Neodiprion lecontei: one gene and its partners. The protein of the gene in region 1 interacts with the protein of each later gene in a biochemical or structural test. Links are inferred from orthologs where the notes say so. Each region holds a gene or a part of one and is shown in the gene's direction. Other genes may lie near its edges. The genes, in order: tyrosine-protein kinase Abl, protein enabled and tyrosine-protein phosphatase Lar.

What was found.
Region 2: of the proteins of tyrosine-protein kinase Abl (region 1) and protein enabled, one has a biochemical effect on the other in vitro, tested with the Drosophila melanogaster proteins (3 studies listed by BioGRID, with this or other methods). The link is inferred for Neodiprion lecontei from reciprocal best matches to the Drosophila melanogaster genes Abl and ena.
Region 3: of the proteins of tyrosine-protein kinase Abl (region 1) and tyrosine-protein phosphatase Lar, one has a biochemical effect on the other in vitro, tested with the Drosophila melanogaster proteins (2 studies listed by BioGRID, with this or other methods). The link is inferred for Neodiprion lecontei from reciprocal best matches to the Drosophila melanogaster genes Abl and Lar.

What each region holds. Positions count from the first base shown.
Region 1 is NC_060261.1:5,820,662-5,827,274, forward strand, and holds the start of tyrosine-protein kinase Abl, read left to right. Parts: upstream 1-2,833; 5' UTR 2,834-3,427; coding exon 3,428-3,554; intron 3,555-4,890; coding exon 4,891-5,044; intron 5,045-5,293; coding exon 5,294-5,403; intron 5,404-5,591; coding exon 5,592-5,890; intron 5,891-5,974; coding exon 5,975-6,116; intron 6,117-6,258; coding exon 6,259-6,389; intron 6,390-6,482; coding exon 6,483-6,613. Other genes in the region: BTB/POZ domain-containing protein 10, read right to left, coding at 585-710, 1,626-1,744. UniProt on the Drosophila melanogaster protein: Arm and Abl proteins function cooperatively at adherens junctions in both the CNS and epidermis; critical for embryonic epithelial morphogenesis regulating cell shape changes and cell migration.
Region 2 is NC_060264.1:29,524,940-29,531,469, forward strand, and holds the start of protein enabled, read left to right. Parts: upstream 1-2,362; 5' UTR 2,363-2,827; coding exon 2,828-2,880; intron 2,881-3,212; coding exon 3,213-3,534; intron 3,535-4,342; coding exon 4,343-4,512; intron 4,513-5,643; coding exon 5,644-5,898; intron 5,899-6,530. UniProt on the Drosophila melanogaster protein: Functions, together with Abl, trio and fra, in a complex signaling network that regulates axon guidance at the CNS midline. Required in part for robo-mediated repulsive axon guidance. May be involved in lamellipodial dynamics.
Region 3 is NC_060261.1:27,255,702-27,262,330, reverse strand, and holds the start of tyrosine-protein phosphatase Lar, read left to right. Parts: upstream 1-2,691; 5' UTR 2,692-2,900; exon of another isoform or gene 2,901-3,179; intron 3,180-6,629. UniProt on the Drosophila melanogaster protein: Possible cell adhesion receptor. It possesses an intrinsic protein tyrosine phosphatase activity (PTPase). It controls motor axon guidance. In the developing eye, has a role in normal axonal targeting of the R7 photoreceptor, where it negatively regulates bdl.

The sequences.
Region 1 (6,613 bases):
CAGAATATTTCTACCAAATTTCAAGAGGGCTTTGTTAAATCATTTGACCTACTGTACCATTTGATGACCATTTGTCCTTTCTGGCTGTGCCAAGAATAAATTTTGCTACTCGTTATAACGTCAAACGATACTCAGTAAATATTCGTTTGTACACCCATTTAAACAAGTCATCAATCCTCTATTTTAATCTGATCTTGCTAATATACTTCAGAAAACAATCAAATATTAAATTATTTTCTACAGCTAATAGCGTGCTTAATGTTATTCACTTGCTTGTTTCTACCATAGACACATTATTCTTGTTCAGAAAAAGATTTATTATAGTAGATAATTTATATTCATTCTGAACAAATAACGTACGAACATGCAGAGAATTCTAAAGCTACAATTAAACTACTATCTTCTATGTAATAATAACATCAATACTCAACGACGTGTACAATATTTTTTATTTACTTTGAACATTCTCTTTACGACCTCACATCATATTAAGAGAACAATTTATAGCTTAGGAAATTTTGATACGTTTACTACGTCGTATCATTATTCAGACCGTTTATCTTTAGTATCAGAATCCAACCTACCCAAATCTGTTCTTGTATACGCGGTGGCGACCGCGGCTATCCGTTTCCTTGTAGTCTGTCTCTGTATCGCTGCTACTATCTTGCACATAACTTAAACGATCTCCAGGATTTGACATGTCAGGCCAGCTAGTAGAATGATGAAAGAAAAAAACCAGAAAAATATTCATTAATCACTGACTGTAAAATACTTTAAAGTTTTACGACAATGAGCTACATGACTAGGTGATCTGAATGAAGACGGCAAATCTGAATTTGCATGATTTCCGAGCGGGATGAAAAATTTACAGTATAGAAAAATCTTACAGTGAAATTGATGTTTTATCCATTGAGAAAGAGATATGAAGAAACAGGATTCCAAGGTGACCTTGTCAACTTAGCAATGAAATAACAAGTAAACTACTCCGCGTTTATTTAGTTGCCTTGAACACTTTGTAAAAATATTCTTCTTTTAGAAATTTCAATGTTTGATGAACAATTATAAACGATGCATGAAAAGTTTGGACAACGTTATGCTTTCAAGTCAAACTTGACTGCGGTAATAATAAGAGAATACAGAAGCTGTGGCGTGTCTCGAGTCTCAAAATAAATTGAAGTAAGTTCATTTGCCAAAAGTAATCACGTATCATCGTACTTGCATACGTATATTCAAGACTTTATATTAATAGATCACAGGATCATCACAAAGGTAATGAAATGTTATACAACACTTCACTCGACAACAGAGAAGCATGCCTTGCTTGTACGACGCAGTCGTATTATTGATAAGTGAGATGACGAATCGTACGAGTAACAACCTATAATAACAGTAAAACGTGCCACTCCCTATTTTTTATCTTTCTTTCTTCGTAATCCTAATTTCTTTTATTCACAACGGTTGGAAATCTCGTGGGGAGAAATAAGGAAAATATGTTGACAAGAACATAGATCCAACGATTTTTGTTGGAATCCCTTGAATAGAGTACAGCTAGCATTGTTGGGACTATGAAGTTTAGTTACTGAGAAATACTAGAGGTCTGGTTGTTGTGTGTATAATGTACTTACGAATGATAAAATGGTAAATACCACTCTATTTTCTCCAATAGCCACTTTAATGAGGAGCAAATTTGAACGCTGCAAAAGTAAAACCTAACCTGTCTAGTTTTTTTTACAGTAAATCGCATTCCAAACCAACGGTTAATACCCTTAAAGGTTGTCTGATATTTCTCAATTACCTGATAGACTAGGCCATTTGTTATGGTTTTTTCTGCAATAACTTTATTCTTGTCTGTTCTACGGATCCCGAAACTTCGGCAGACAAAGGTACATATGTTCGGAAGGAGATGCAGAAACAATTACTAGCCGTGACTAAGTTAGTGTTTTTTTTTTTTTTTGGTTTTTCTTTCTTTTATTATACTTTTCTCATTACGAACAGAACGCACAGGTAGAATGATAATTAATATCAAATTGACAATATTTTTTCTTTTTTTGTTTTTCCTAACTCCGTCTGTCACTCCTAATAAATAAACTGTATTCTCGTGTCATATGAATCACTTAAATCGAACTTACGGCACTCTTTTGGCCCGTATTGACGTGCCAATGATTATTTTAACGACAGTCTACTGGCTCAAAAAGACAACATGGTATTAACATTTGATTTGGAACTGTCAAAGAACTCCCCGTTAGCAACTAAGGACTATTTCACGGTCTATACCGGACGGGGTTCAATGGTTGGTCAGGAGAAATCCCTTTGGCTGAAACTTGGAGCATATACTACTGGAGGGAGCTACCTATTCCATCGACCTCGCGATAGTTGCAGCCCGAGTAATGAGAGAGACAGGTTATAACCAACATACACCTCTCTCTCTCACTCCTTTGCTGCACTTTCTGTGTACGCTAACCAGTAGTATGACATACTCTAAGGGCTGAAAGGACTTAAATCAGACAGGCGCGCAGACGCGGGGAATTCTCGAAGCTGGGCAAAGATACCGATGTAGTTATGTAGTGTACTCTTAGCATTTTCTGAATTAGAAGGAATAAATTCTAGGTATGTAACATACATAGATGCGTACATACGTCGTCGATTTATTTCGACGGTAAACCGTGATTGGAGTAATAACAATTCTTCGGAGTGTAAAATCGATTACGATTTCGGTCATTAAACCCTCAACGCATCAATCGATAGCGTTAAAATTTGTCGACTCCTCATTGGTCGAACTTGGTACGTCGACCGGCTCGCTTTTGGCTCCTCAGTCGCTTTGTCGCCCCATCTGGAGAGGGTCGAATGCTCGGATGAAATAAAAAACTGGCGACTGGGATGGCAGTCTTTTCTCGTACTACTACTGCACATCGTATCGTGATTATATCTGTATTAAAATGAAAGTAATTTTTATTGTTGCCAGTAATGCGAGATTTGCTGTTCAATATTTTGTCAGCGTGTTTGATCCCGTGTAGAGAATCGATACCGCTTATCGTATATGCAAAGTCGACTGCTTCAACCCTGGTTTTGATTAATCCGAGTTCTATCTCATTCATAACAACATATCGAAGCAGTTGCACATTTTACTCCCTGGCTGCACCACCTCCACTTCGTCACCGTGCTGCCCCGCATTAATGCACTGACAAACTAAATAATCGACGTCAAAGCTGTCAAACATGGCGAACGGTCTGTGATATCTAATTGACATGTAAAAATGTGAGCGAGCACGGGGAGGAAGCAGTTCGCGGTTCAGTTCTTGTTTAAACTATTCACAAACTCCCGTATAATGTAAATGTATCAAGTGCTCCTGGAGGTTGATGCGCGAAGCAGTTGACCTCGGCGTACTTTCAGCCGGGGCAGAATATAAGGGTATGTTAAACGAGGAACTATGGGTGCTCAACAGACTAAGGATAGAGTGATTCCCACCGGGTCTGCCGTACGACAAACTCGGAAACAGCCCAGAAACCCGAAGGAATCCAGGCTCATTGGATCGAACATTTTTACGGAACACAGCGGTAAGCTGATCTCCATTTTCATTGTAAGACTCTACCCCTCCCTTTTTCCTGTTTTAACAGTTTCATTTTTCTTCTCATTTCATTCAATCGCACTTCCTACACGCACTCATTGTTACTCTTTCCTTCTTTTTTCCTTACCTTTTCCGTTTTCATTGACAACCTTCATCTCATCACAACGTTATGTACTAATATCACACATTGCATAAGTCCAATTTCGAATACAATTATTTTATCCATTTGTTTGCCAAATGAAACATGGAATAGAGACTCGCAATGAAGTTCCTCGCAGATAAAATCACATCGATACAGAATGAATTCATCTCTGATTTACTGCTATTATTTCATTATAGTCAATTCAGAGCCAATGTAATTGTACAAATTTCGATATTATCTTCCATTCCTCGACACAGTGTGTTAATTTATGTCCACCTTCGAATTTCCTTATTCGGGTTTATTTACACAGAATTAAATTTTTCAATCGAACTTCTATACTTATAAGAATTTTATATTAATGGAATCGATTACTTGGAAAAAAAAATGTACTCATTTGTTACAATGGAATTTAGTTTGTCGTACACAGCTATATTTAATACAACATGAAGCAAAACAAACGAGAAACGGCGTGAATCGTGTTATATGACTTCCTTTTGCAGTTATTTTTAACTCTGTGTTCGATATTTCTTTATCAAAGTTTTTTGATTCTGATTAATAAAATTTGCAATGCAACGATTATAAATAGAATATTCTTTATTATCAGTGAACAGTAGCTGTTCATTTCCTGCAACTAGTTCTAATGTATGTGGTCCGAATAATCAGTAATGAATTCTTTAATTGCATTTGTCCGTGTCGCAGATCATTTCTTTTAAAGTTGAATTTATCGGAACAAAATTACAGTAGATTTTGCCCTTAATTCTGAGCTGCACAAATTTTTTGAGAAGCAGTATTTAATTCTTATTCAGGAACAAATTGTGCCGAACTATAATATGTCCTTGTTAGAATGATCAGTTTATTATAAGACTGTTGGAAAACAAACAAAATCGAACAAAGTTCAGATCTTTTCAAACCATTGGAAAGTTAGAGAAACGGGAATATTCACAAATTACAAACTTGCAATATAGCATCAATATCCTTTACAAAATGCATTTTCTTTGTTTTATAACTGAAAATATGTAATTAATGATATCATTCATTTATCGTTTGAGTCTATGTATACTTGCATTGAAAAAAAGGCGGTTAAATTCATTTGACTTCTGTTATTCAATTACTCATACCGATATTCTAGATCTAACGTTGCTTGTCTTGAGGCAAGATGTGACTGATGATCATACATTTTCAGAGGCATTACTACAGAGTAGACCTCTACCTCATATACCAGCCTTACCTGAAGGAGATCCACCTAGCAGTTCAAGTTCTCAATCACTTTCCCAACAGTCCAGCCTGCAGCAGCATAGTAGCGTCACTACTACAGGACTTCTGGAAGCTGCTAATCGGTAAAATATATTGCAAATTATAATTTCATTATATTGTTCCCAATGCAATAGAACATAATATGAGGAAATATTATATTAACCAAAATTTGGATATTTCAATTCATGGGCTTAATTTCATTTGAATAGAACATATTTTCAAATAATTTTCAAATTTAAAACAATCATCACCCAGCCCTAAAAAATGACGAGTTGCCATATGTGCTTCGATGAACATAATATGAGAAACTGTTTACTTACCCTTGATTGTAGATGGACAAGCAAAGAAAATCTTCTGGCTCAAGAAGAAGATGATCCGCAATTATTTGTAGCGTTATATGACTTCCAAGCTGGTGGTGAAAATCAACTTAGCCTTAAAAAAGGTAATTTCTGGGATTTTTTTCCATTCCATCTACAGTATCAATTATTTCTTCACTTGGGTACTATAATCTCGTCACTGCATACATTATACTCTTGACTTGAGGAGATTTAATTTAATTTCAAATTGTAGTTTCAAAATGAAAAAAAAAAAATGTATTCTGAAGTTACTATTGGAAATATATTTATATAGGGGAACAAGTTCGTATATCAAGTTACAACAAGAGTGGAGAATGGTGCGAAGCCCACTCCAGTACAGGCCAAGTTGGCTGGGTTCCTTCAAATTACGTAACCCCCGTGAATTCGCTGGAAAAACATTCGTGGTACCATGGGCGAATATCAAGAAATGCTGCAGAGTATCTGCTCAGTTCGGGTATAAACGGAAGTTTCTTAGTTAGAGAATCAGAGAGCAGTCCTGGGCAACGAAGTATTTCATTACGATATGAAGGGCGCGTTTATCATTACAGAATAAATGAAGACAGTGAAGGAAAGGTCGGTAATGACTCTAGTATAATAACATATCTCGTAGACATCATCTTATGGTAAATTCAAATTTCAAACAAACTACTGTTCTAGATGTTTGTTACAACGGAGAGTAAATTCAATACGTTAGCTGAGTTAGTTCATCATCATTCCATGCTGGCCGATGGTCTGATTACTCAGCTACTTTATCCAGCCCCCAAGCGCAACAAACCTACCGTTTTCCCACTAAGTCCAGGTAAGATACGAAGGAACGGGTTAAAGTATCTTCAATTATTACTAACAAAGTTATCCAAGTCATTGGTTATGTGTGAGCGTAATCTATAAACATTTGGATTCGTACTATGACAAACTCTAATTGCTATTTGTAAAAATTTTAGAACCAGACGAGTGGGAAATTAATCGGACAGACATAGTAATGAAGCATAAATTAGGCGGGGGCCAATATGGCGATGTATACGAGGCATTATGGAAAAGATATAACATGACAGTCGCAGTGAAAACGCTGAAGGTGAGATGCAAAGTGCTTTATCACTGCGTTGTTACTTTTAGTAAAATTTTGTAATATTTCCATAACGTAAAACACACTTTTGCCATTCTCCAGGAGGACACAATGGCATTGAAAGACTTTTTGGAAGAAGCGGCGATAATGAAAGAGATGAAACATCGAAACTTGGTACAGTTGATAGGCGTCTGTACGCGAGAGCCCCCATTTTATATAATTACTGAATTTAT
Region 2 (6,530 bases), on another chromosome or scaffold:
ATTTTCTTGCAACTGTTGCGAAAATTTAACGCTCGTGCAACGATAAATTGACGTTAAAGCCTTGTTCAACTTAAAAAAGTAGAGTAAACCTCGGAAACTGATTTTGCGTTGCAATAACCAAAAAAGGATCGACGATAGCGCAAAATGTTTAGGCGTACCTCGTTTTTCGTAATTCCAACGATATTCAAACAGTTTTTTTTTAACGATACCGGTTTTACTGAATTTCTCTAGTTACTGTAACAAATGAAATTATTCTCAGTGTAGAGTTTCACGGTTATAGGTATAAAGAAGCAAGGAACCGTGCCTTGCACCATGCACACCATCTAGATCCGGGTATTCGCGTAACGCGGAAGAAGGATGCGAGAAGTTGAAACGTGATAGCGATCCGTCGTCGTCTCGTGATCTGCAAGTATAAACCTGAGAATCACGCTCTTGTTTTGCATTCTGTTAAGCTGCGGTACGCGGAACCTCCGGACGATGGTTTCTCCGGATGACCGGAAGTGTGGAGAGAAAACCCTTCCCGCCGATCGATTTCCAAAGCACCGATTACGATTGTCGGCATCGCGATCAACCTCCGTTAATCAGTAATCGCGTTAATCGTCCGTGTAATTGAGAAGGTCATCGGCGACTATTCATGTTTCTTCGCTGCAGGCACACGTGTCTGACTTTCGTTTCACTCGGTCGATAATGTCGGATGCTATCAAATGTGGCAATTGTACCAAGTCAATGTTACGAGTTTGGGAATCTAGTGGTGTGGTGTAGATTAAAGATCATCCATTCGTATTTGCAGCAACAGTTTCAAGCGGTAACAGGAACAACGCATTGTTTTTCTGCACCATTCCTACAGCAATGATGATGGGATTTTTTTAATACTCCTTTTCGGATGTTTTCGCGAATCTGCCAGCTATGAAGCGAGAATGGTTAAAAATACCCTGGAATATGTGTCACGTAGGATAGGAAATGCGCGCACGATTGTTGTTATCAGGAGGAATGTGTACTGCAGCCGGAAGTGGTCGGCAACATCCTGCAGTGAAACATTTCATCCGGAGACTTCAGTCTGAACAATCAAGTTGTCCGAAGCGTTGGACGTTACGGGATCACCGCAGATCATAACGTCTTGAAGGACCAGAACCGGGTTCGCGAATATCTGTCGGAAGTTGGAAAGACATAACGTGATCGGTGAACTTCTTTCTCCTTGGGATTCGTGACAGTGTTTCATTTGTGTAGTGCAGAAAGTTTTTTTTTTAACGACTTCGGTATTAACCCGAGATACGGTTTCTTATGATTTTTATCGAAAGCTGAAAAATATTAGACTGTCAAGGAGAAGCGGAACGGTGGTAAAAGATATGCAGTTCGCTCGATTGAATTTCATTCCTAGTATCCTACGTAACCGTCATGGTGGCGATGTATTTACGATACTCGACATATCGGCTGATATATTATCAGATGTTATGTAACGATATTCTTCAATAAATTTTAGTTTGTTCAACAACGGCGTAACTCTTCTACTGCGATTTATATACTTCATTTCACAATACTCAAGGGCAAAAAAGTTTCTTCGTAGAAACCATTTTTTATCACCCTTGTTCCAAGGAGAATCGAATCCGCAACCCGAGGAGAAAAAAGGTTAAGGGATTCAGGGGACGAGTATGAGTTGACTTTGACGTATGGGGATAAAATGTATATATACGTGTTCAGTCGTGTGGAATAAAGAACATTTTTTATCGAAATTATTCGTCCGAGTTGCGATGTCGGTCCGATTTCAATTGCCAGGACTACTAACTTTTTAAGAGACAAGAGAACGTCGAAAATATACCGTCGCCAAAGATATTTCAACTTTATTTGTAAAGTTATTTCTGAAAGAAGATCACATCGTTAGCGAATGAAATTAGATGAAAAAAAAAATCGAAATCAAACCAATACTATCAGGTACTCGTTTAACCGCAATGAATCATTCTGAGCGAATTTCATCCCAAAAATTTATCAAACTCCTCGTAGATTTCAGGAATAGACTTTGACAGTCGTTCGTTTTGCTGGAAATCAATTCTGTATCTAATCGAAAAAAAAATTCCTTAAAATTTTTTTTTCCACTTTACCTCAACTTTGCCGATGTCTTACGATATTTAAACAATGAATTGTGGTTAGGAAAACTGAATCGAGCCTCTTCTCCGATCCTTAAACAATACCTAGATATTTTTTGTTGCGATTTTTAGAACAAATCGTCGAAGCAGGATATCGCTTTTTTGGAACTGGAAAACCGTTATTCGATTCTGCCGCGGTGTGACGAATTAGGGTTAACGTGTAATTTTACACCGCAAGGACGAGGCAATTATTTACCGGAAAAAGTTGTTCGTTTTTCAGTGATGTATCGCTGAAAAGAAGTTTGAGAATGCTCGAACACTGCTCATTATCGTCGATGATAAAACTTTCCGGGTAGCGGTGTGAAAAAGGGTGCTCACCACGAAACAACGAGGGCAACATGCTGCAGACGTAATTGAATCCCCGCGTTTTCCCCGTTTCGCAAAAGTCAACCGATACCCCGGAGGCACAGCAGAGGCAACACCGTAAAGCGAATCCTTGAAAGACTCGCGCAGTGAGGTGTCACGAAAATGGCATCGTTTACCTGCAAAGCTGGCGGGGAGCTTGCGGCGATGAAGTAATCGTCTTAGCCGGCTTCCTCCTTCGGACAGTGTTGTAAAAATAAACAAGGTGACAGGGTGACTTCCTCTGTCCTTGGCTCGGGCCAACTCCTAACGGTACCCCGGAACAAGGGTAAAGTACAACCCAAGGACGACACGTACCCTTCATCGGCAAGACCATCGCCGACATGACAACCGCTAATCACAAACGTTGGTCCGACTGGAATACCTACTGGGCATGGTATTGAATGCTAACTAATTCCATTCGCTTCCAAGCCGTTTGTTACCGTCTGTTCCATTTCTGTTTTCGGCTCGCCCCTAAGCCAACGCACACGTGGCAGCGTCTCTAATGACGAATAACAATGATCTCTTACCACTTGGCGAGTATGGTGGATCTTTGCATCGAATCTCACTTCCGAAACACGCGATGTTCCTACGTCATATTACCGAATCCGTGTCACAATGTCGATGAATCCATTATTGTTCCATTTATCGTTTATCGACATACCGACTTCGTTCTGGTACTTGGTGTGTACCGTACTTAACGAAACAATGTCATTATCCATTTCGCAGTGAGGTAAGCATATCATCAGCACGGGCGTCGGTGATGGTGTACGACGACGTGAACAAGAAATGGGTGCCGAGCGGAAGTTCGTCCGGCTTATCGAAGGTGCAGCTGTACCATCACCAGGTGAACAACACCTTCAGAGTGGTCGGTCGGAAGCTCCAGGACCATGAGATAGTGATAAACTGCGCTATCCTCAAAGGACTGAAGTACAATCAGGCTACGGTTACGTTTCACCAATGGCGGGACAACAAACAAGTTTACGGGCTGAACTTCTCGAGTAAAGATGACGCCGACGCTTTCGCCAAGGCCATGCTGCAGGCCCTCGACGTAAGTGTTGTGTATACTTTTTATTTCCCTCTTTCTGTCTCTTCGCCGAGTCGAAATTCTTTCTTTTATCAACCATTCCCGTCTTGGAACTATGCACCTTGGAGAAAGGTCCCCGTATCTTTTCACTTCTTGTATTATATATTACACTTGTTTACCCTGCGGAGATGATATGCGGACGTCAAAAATGGGGCGGCTTTCTTACCTTTATACGTATACTATCTTCGATATACTTTACACAGCTGTACCTGGAGAGATACGGATATGTATTGAATTACTTCATTGTCAGGCTGGTCGCACACGAAATCAACCGGACGCTTGCGTGGGAGAAAGAAAAGAAGATAAAGAGAAAGAAAGAGAGGGAGAGAGAGAGAGAGAAGGCAACGTGCAGAGTGCATCGAGCCACATGCCGTGTAATTGGATAACTTCTCCCGGCCACACGAATATTATATCCGATGCAAAAAATTACGTCAACGCGTCAGCCTTCGCTTTTTCACTCCAATAATTCACAAACGAGATTCAACTCGGTTATTAAGACCATTTACCAAAACCCTGACTCGAATATATCAGTCGCTCCATTTCCCGAATCTGACTCACTGCGTGAGGTTATGCAGTTTTTTTTTCCTCCTTACCTTTCGTTACAGATCAACGACGATTATCCAATAACCGTGACAATTGGCAGTGTCTATCAATTTAGAAACCTTTAACTTTATAATGAAGTAAATTGAGCTCGCGGCGTATTATGATACATCAGTAGCCATTGAAAGATCGAACTTTAACCCGTACTAATCCGTCTGAATTTTCATCCCAGGTCCTCAGCAACGGCAGCAATATCTCGAGGAGTTTGGGTCCGGCAGTCGCTTCCACAGCACCGGCGAATTACCAGCAACAGCAACAGTCCCAACAACAACAACAACAGCAACAACAACAGCAACAGCCTCTTGGTATCACCCAGCAGTACGAAGAGGACATGGGATACAGGTCAGTCCCTAGATTCGTTTTTCTTATCCAATTTTACTTGATTTTTTTTTTTGCGGTTTTACCTTTCACCTCGATTCACGTTCTGGGTTCCATTTCTCGAGTGCTCTCTTTGTCCCCGATGTTTTCATTTCTGTCCAATACGTGACGGGAGTATGTTATCTGCAATAATATGGTAAACAGGATAAGACGACGATTACGGCGTTTCAGGACGATTCGAGAACCCGAATAGCGGCACTTTGCCAACGATTATATGTAAATGTTCCTGCAAGGATCCATCGACTCAGATTTCTGAAGAGGACTAATAGACCCTGACTATTCTTAAACTCACAGTGTACATACCTGCTCCGTCTCTTTCATTCTTGTCACTATATAATTTATGACTGGTATAATATTAGTAGAACCATATTATTAGAAATACCGAACATGAGGTAAGGAGGCTCTTTGGGTGCTAATTAGCTGCTAATTACGTGCTATTTTGAAAAATGCGATGCATAATTTTACTCGAATGATACTTCGGTTATATTGTACATTGCTTTGACGGGATTCTCCGAAATAAATTGAATAAGGAAAAATTTACGGCATTGTTTAGACCGCAGGTGCAATTCCAAAGTCCCTGAACTCTGCAGGACATATGCTCCGTGCAATCAGGCCGCCTGGAAACTTTGATCGAGTTACTCATTATTCCAACTGACTAAATGACACCTGGTAATTGAATAAATCACTCCGTGTCGCCTGCGAACAAGAGGATAACTGAGTATAAATCGCGACAATTAAGTTACTGCGTATTGAATTAACGAATTAATTTAACGAAACAGTTGGATAGATAAAGATAATATATCTACTGCGAAGAAGTGACTTAATAGCAGCGATGACAAGTGTCTATAAATAGATGGATAACCGAATCAATGCAGGATAAGGAGACAACTCACGATCAACTGTATCTTGTATGCTCAGTCAAGATAACAACTGACAAAGTACAATCCAGATAACCGAAATGACTGTAGAAATAACTTCATCGATGTAGAAACTACTGAGAATGAGTTACCAACCGTTTGAATGCCTCAATGATCCCATGCAAATAGCAGGTACCTACTTATCGTCACTGGTCAATGATGTGTTGGGTGCTTCCAGTCAGAGTCAGAGTCAAAGCCAAAGCCAGGCCCAAAGCGGATCTGGTCCCGTTCAGGGGGGCCTGGGGATGGTAGGAAGCATAGGGAGCGTAGGGAGCGTGTCGAGAGTTTCCTTGTCCCTGGGGCACCTCGGTGGAAGCCCTGCCCCCCCATCGGCAACCGCCGCTCCGATAGCGAGCGGCATCACAACCGTCATTCAGGTCGGGGGTGGAGTTGCGAGTCGGGGATCACCGGCTGATCGCGAGAACGTCATGAGGTGACTTACGACTGCCGGATATCATTGTCTCTGCTTACATCCATGTTATAGATATGCGGTATAACATGTAAAGCCGGTGCTGGAAATAATATTTCTCAAATAACATTGTCACGTTACTCAAATACCGCTGACCTTTCAACTCACACTTCGCTTTTCTTTGTTTCTTTATCTGTTTATTTGGATTTACGAATCTTGTCACTTTTTTTTTCCGTACTGGTGAATTATCACTCGCATCTTATCGATCGGAAAAATTCTAGAATTTTGAGTACCCACTCGGGTGGGCGGACATACGTTTTGGAAAATCAAATGGCCTTTAGGTAGAGAAAAAACGAAATTTCGGAGTGATCTGAGTATTCCTCAAGTTGATATAAAAAATTATCAACTGCTACAACTATTGTTATTCGTCAAGTGATTTCACAAAATTGATGATCCTCGTTCAGTTAGAGCGATTGGGAATAGATCGAAGATCCAAGTGAAGAGGTTCTCACCAATAACGATACAGCGCGCATGTTCTTCAGCGTTGGTGCCCTGAATAATACAATGACAAATCATCAATGCGATGTGATCGCTTGATCAGTTTTAGAGATTATGAATTAATTGTAGTTATATGTCTTTCCGCTATGCATAATGTA
Region 3 (6,629 bases), about 21 Mb from region 1:
ATAAACCTACTTCTCGTATACCGATATCGGGCTTAAAATTATGGGTACAAAATAATAGGGGTAAGGGATAACCCCAAAAAATTTATGCGCGTAGTTACGATTTCCCCTCAGCTCCGTTTATATTTTAATCTTTTTGGCGGAAGGATCATAATTCCCAGGGTAGGTATATAATAATATCGACATAAATTCACCAAAGTCGTTCGTGCGTACCCACGCAGTTTGATAATTACGTGCGAATTAATATCTAAGGACGGTGCTTGTTCAACGAGAAAAACAGAGATGATCACTTACTAATTGTGAACACATCGATTCTTCGAACCGACCAAAATTCACGACATTCCGCGAATTGCTCCGAAGGAATGGAAAGCCATAATTAGACGCTAGACACTTGCTCGCTGATAATTCAGACTTTAATAGCCAGCCGAAGTATAATCAATTATGTTTACACGGTACGCTAATGCTCGGTCATAATTTTCAAATTTTCACTGCTCGAACAATTATTCTTTCTGACGTTATCCAAGGCATGAATCATGACGCCTTTGCTGAACGGTTTCGAATCTACGTAAATGCGTAAATCATCGAATGCCGCAAATTTTCATCACAGAGATGACCGTAATTTCGCTCTTCTTATTAGTTTGAATAGCAATACATCTCACACCACGTTTGACTCGCGCGTATCTTAATAATAACTACGAGTGGAAAATCATCCTCAGGTAAGGTTTAACGTTTTGTCGCACTCATTTTTGTAAGTCATATTTTTTATGTGTAAGGGGTGTTCCGGGGGGTTTTCGGGGATGTTGGTCACGAATCTGAAATCAGAGCCATGGAATATAGGTGGTACATACATATGTGCCACCGTGCAGGAAAGGGATGAAGCTTAAAGTTCGAAGCTAACAGCTAAAAGCCGAATCTACATCATTTAAAATTTTTACCAGCATTTCAAAAATACCAATCATCTAGAAAAAGAAAAATCAATTTCGTACAAACACATATCACTGTTAGCAAAATTTAACCAAATATAATGTCCCAACAGATCCAGTTTATATTTCTGTTGGTAAATACGACAGAAGTTGTTGTAACTATAACACACAAATTATCATATCAACCTTTAATTTGTAAATTTGTTGCAATTTGTGTTTTTTATTTCGTTGAGTAATGTATTAAAAAGAGGTTAAATCAACCCAAAAATATTAGTGGACCTTCCGAGTCACTTTTTTCTAACCATGTAATCAGAAAATATAATTTTCTATTAAATATGAACATTATGATATCGTATACTACATTCTCGTGGCAAGATTTCTTAATTCAGCATTCTTAGCAACAAAATTATGTTTTTACTACGTATGTTCAACAAAGTTCCCTCCCCCTCGAAGCAGTCTGGAAATTACTTTTCCTAGGAAACCATTGTACATTCGTCCTGATAATCAATCATGAATAAAGATGAGATGGAAAGAGACAAGCTGGTTGATATATTAACAGTTGCAAGATTCTCTCACAGGAGTTGGAGCCGTGTCTCCAAAGTTTTTTTTTTTTTTATGGAAATATAAAGTATTATTGTACCTTACGCCATAAAAAAAAACTCGGTCAGACTTGCGAAATGGTTATATCAACATAGCCGAAACTTCTCGTTTTTCACCTATGCATAATTAACACTTTTCTTGCTGAGTTGAAAGCATCCGTGTTTGGAAGAAGTATTCGATTCAAGAGTCATTTGTAAAAACTCGAAAGAGCAAAATATCTGTACGGATTGTCCCGTAGCGAGACAAGTTGCGTTGGATATTTCATATTAAAAGTAATAAAAGAAAAAAAATTAAAAAGAATGGTTCGCATAATCGATCGAAATTTCCAACTTATCGCGCAGCAAAGAGTCTGCTCGATGACTGAAAAACTATTACTTCACCAACTGTGACAATTTTTATTATTTTTTTCTCGCTTCGAAAAACGATTTTCAAATATTCGCTGTACAATGTTTCTATATAAAGAAGAAAAAAAAAAAAGAAACAAACAAACAAAAATCCTCCATTTCCAACGAAATAACAACTATCTAGATTCCCCGCGTAGTACTATGTAAAATTCTCACAAATTCTTCAACGTCGTATCAAAACGTATCGTAAACACCTTAAACTGAGTCAGTCGTTACAGCTGTCAAGGTTGGTTTTACGATCACGAATAGTTGGATTTAGGGTATACATACACCTTTGACCAGGTATACTCTGAACTTGACTATCCTTGCGAAACTCCGAAGCTCTACCTTATACATATACATGCCCGGCAAAGATTGGCGGCGTATTGTAAAATGTACAAACGTCTGACCCCATCCTCATGCATATCCTTCCACGGGTATCCGTAGACGCTCAAGGGTTGTAAACCGAGCATGGTCACACGTCCAGTCATCTACGCTCTTCAGACATGTCGTATGCCGCGAGGGGGGGGGGGGGGGGATGACGATGAGGGGGAAAGAGTGCGCGACGACCCTTCAGCCCTTAACCTCCCCCCTCCCCCCCTGCTCCAGCGCCACCCTCTAACCTCCCCCTCCGCCCCTCACCCGTTACCCACATCAGGAATATAACATGCAGTGAAGAGAACTTGACGGGGAGCCGTGAGGGGGGGTGGAGGGTGCGACGAAGGCGTCTGCGCGGAAGCCGTAGCCGTTAGAGGGTTGATTTTGGCTCAGTCAGACCCTGACTTTTGGAAGGGGTGCTGCGCGTTCGCGAGGAGATAAAGTCAACGTGCGTTTCTTCGATTGCTCGTACCGATCTCGTTGGAATCGCCAACGTCAGCATTATTCGAGGGTTGTTTTCCCGACCTTGATACGACCCCGTTCGACGATTATCGGCTCACGCTGTGCGAAAGCTGTTCGAGAGGGGATCGAGCCTGTTTGATTCAGGGCACCCGCTGAGGTTAGGAATCGTAGAGAATAAGAGGGTTTTTCAGGTGCCCAAGAAACGAAGGAAAAAGAATTTTTCTCATATCTGTCTACAAGTGCGTTTTTGTGTAATCAGTTAGTTAGTTGAATTTGTGATTGTTGGTTGTTGTGCTGATTGTATAGTCAACGCGCTGACGCACCGTCTAGGATATTACACGTATTTGTGAAAAGTGATTACTTACGCTCGTCGAGGTATTGAGCTTCGGAAACATGTGCTGATTTTTTAAAGGATTCCACCCAACCGCCGGCATTGGTGAGTGGCGATTTACGATAATTCTTTCTTTTTTTTTTTCTTCGCTTCCAAGTCGTTGTTGCGTTGTACTTTTGAGAATTCTTAACGGTTGGGCTTATCGATCCCACGTGTCACGGCTCGCTGGACTTTCGCGTTACTTCAAAACTACTGCCTGAATATGCAGGAGGTTGCCTAATCGCCTTACGCGGTCCGACTTGGCCACTCGCTGATCGTTTGTGTAGTACAGTTGATCCTTTCAGAAGTGAGCTTAGCTACGATTCTGCAACTTTCTCGAAGTATAACGTGACTTCGTGAAGTTTACTTTCTCACACATCAAACAAGCGTGAGACCCTTCTCGAATCAAAAATTTCAATCCAATTAAACTCTACCATCTAATCTTGCGCTCCAAATTTTTCGCGATCGGTAAGATTGAGTGCTCGGAGAGCTACGGTCCGAAGGTAACAAATCGACCGTGAGAACAATGAACCAAGAGTACACTTAGCGTTTTTATAGTCTGATTTGAGTTTTAATATGGGCTAATTGCGGTGCTCAAGTTCATTAACTTCGAAGGGAACTTGTACAATTCATCTCGAGTCACTGCGGGCCGTTGTGTATACCTATACCTGAAATTAAGTGCGAGAACAAAAGAAGAGAAAGAGGGAAAAAATGAAAGGTAAGAAGATGGGAAAAAGTTGAAAAGATACGATAAAGTACTCGCTTACCGTGATATTATCGAACTCGTGGAAAAGCCTACACGTACTGCGAGGATCCGTTCGTGCGGTATGATGGTGTATCACCATATATATCTACGTGTGCACCACCGTTTACGTATACTTATGGGGCAGAAATCCTACTTCATATTTAACTCGTGCACGATGTGTATGATGGATTCCGCGCCAACTCAACTCGTCCTGCACCTCCACCATGTTCGGTTCCTGCTTCCAATTAGCACGTTGCGAAACATATCAAAAAGACAGCTTGCGCAAGCTTTCAGACTTGCCTAACGGTTGATTATTGATTTAGAGGCACATCTGTTTGTAAACAGGAGCACTTTGTATGAAATTTATGCAGTGGATTGTCTGAATGTGGACGATGTTTCAGACCTTTGTTGGTTCGGTTCAAGTTGGTCAGACCTTTCCTTGATCCCATTTCAAAGTGGCAAACGTTTGAATTTTCAAATACTCTCGATCTCATGAAGATCGTTCATCGATCTTTGTAATGTAATTTCATTCCGTTGAAATTTCGTTTGACACATTTTTTCAAGACCTTCAATGATCAATGAGTCGGTGATACGAGCTTTTGTAATTCGGATTCGAGATACATCGTTAAATTTGACGATACATGAAAACGGTACACTGTACTTATCTCAACGATGTTTCAATAAGCATTTTATAAAATACCCAAGACTGTGTTTTGCCTCAAGTTGTTTTATCTAATCACTGAACTTCATTGTTCAGAATATCTTCCAACCCAACTGTTAGACCCTTGTTGGTGGTAAAAGATTGAGAAGAACGGCAGCGTTTCAAAGCATCAAATCAATCATCAACAACCAGATATCGAAGAAATCTGAAACACTTCCGGATGCTTCTCGGATAACCCGCGGCTTACAAATAGGAAGAAGAAATCTGAGATGGCGTGTTTCAGCGGCGGATCGGCGAGTTGGCTTGGAATCCTCCATGTACATGCTTATCCGCGAATTCGCACGAGGCAAGACAAATCGTTACACTTTTATGCAGAGCTGCGGCATGACGGGGCTGCAGGTCAGAGGGGTACGGATGCACTTGTGTTAGACTTACATCCAGTGCTTGATGCACACACACAAACATACATTGTATGCGAGAAGTTCTACTGAATTTTATGGCTTTGAGGTAGAAGAGCCGCAGAAGCGGCGAGGCCGCATAGCTTTAGTGTGAGAGTTCGTTTAAGTATACTTAATGGCTCTTTTCCTCAACTTATTAAGCCGGTTCCGTTGGTATAATTTCGTGAAATATCTGTCGAGGACACGGGGGTTGGGCGCGTGTGTCGGTGTCGTTGTCCGGAAGGCCGGAACAGCTTGAGATATACGAAGGTGCCCGCCTAGCTTCGAAATAGTTTCTCTGCGGCGAGCGAGTTTACGACAAATGATTACTACGTGCAGCGCTGCGCGGTGAGGGGTGCTCTTATGGCTGTATGTTAAGCAGCGCGAAATAAAATTCACATCAACTATAAAACTTGCGAGCACCAATTGCGAGAGAGGATGAAAACCGCGCGGCCGAGTTGACTTGAAGGTAATTTTGCGAGGGTTTACCTTCGCACAAAAGACGACACGGTGTCAGCCTGAGAATGAAACGCTTACGAAATACCGAACTTGACTGAGGAATTTTATTTATTCGATTTCCCCGCCACTTTTTTCTTTGTCTTTCGCAAATTGTTTTACACGGGAATAACAGCCACCCTCAAGTATTTTCCAAGATAAACAGCATCACTCGACTCCCCTCTAAGAATTCCCCATCGTGAGCTTACGCAATTTCTGTTTGGTTCTCCATTATTTTTAAATATTTCTAGCCGTAAAAGTGTAGAATTTATGTAGTTGTAATTGTATTGGTAACCTTTTTCGTTTTCGACTTTATACGGGATGGCCGTAAACTAGTTCAAAATAATTACAACACCGATTGTCCAAGATTACTGTCCGTGTGGTAGTCCAAGTAAACGTGAACAAGGTTTGACCCTGAGCCCCACCGAATGGGTCGCAGATTTATTTTCTATTTCTACACTGTCAAATATACATTTTCTAATGTTAGTAGATTTTTTCCACGTGCCCTTTAGGAGTAGGTATTTTAGATCTCATCTTTCATAACTCGAAAACTGTACATTTGGAAGAAAAATTATTAAGAGGAAAATATCGTGATTCTTTCTGAATTGGTTGAAAATAATTTCTTCAAAATTGTCTGTAAATCGTAATTCAAATTTTTCAAGATCGCAGTTTTGCAGAAAAATCGATTTTTGTGCGCCTTTCGTTGAAAACGATGACTTACGACTTCCGGAAAATTCTGAAATAATTATTTTAGTGCGTATTGCGAAATCGCTGAAAAATAACGAAGTTCGATCTTTCCGATTTCAATGAACAATTACTTGGCGACGCGACGCATTAAAAATCTCAATTTCAAATCATTGGAGTGAGTTCCAAACAGGCGTCAAAATTTTCCACGAGGCTGGAATGGTTTTCAGTTTAAATTGATGTGAACAATTGACAGTTAAAAATTGAGAAAAAGTATGAGTTTCTGTATATTTTAAATACCCGATCAAATTATATTCAGAAATACTTGACTTTTTAACACGGTTTTTTTGTTTCGATACTCCATTAAATTGCAATTAAGATTCTTTTTGCATTCTCGATCAATGCCTTAATCGCACCATTATTCTTGTAAAGAAACCATACACTTACTAACTTTCGACAATAATTGAGTATTTTTATCGTATATAGTGTTATGA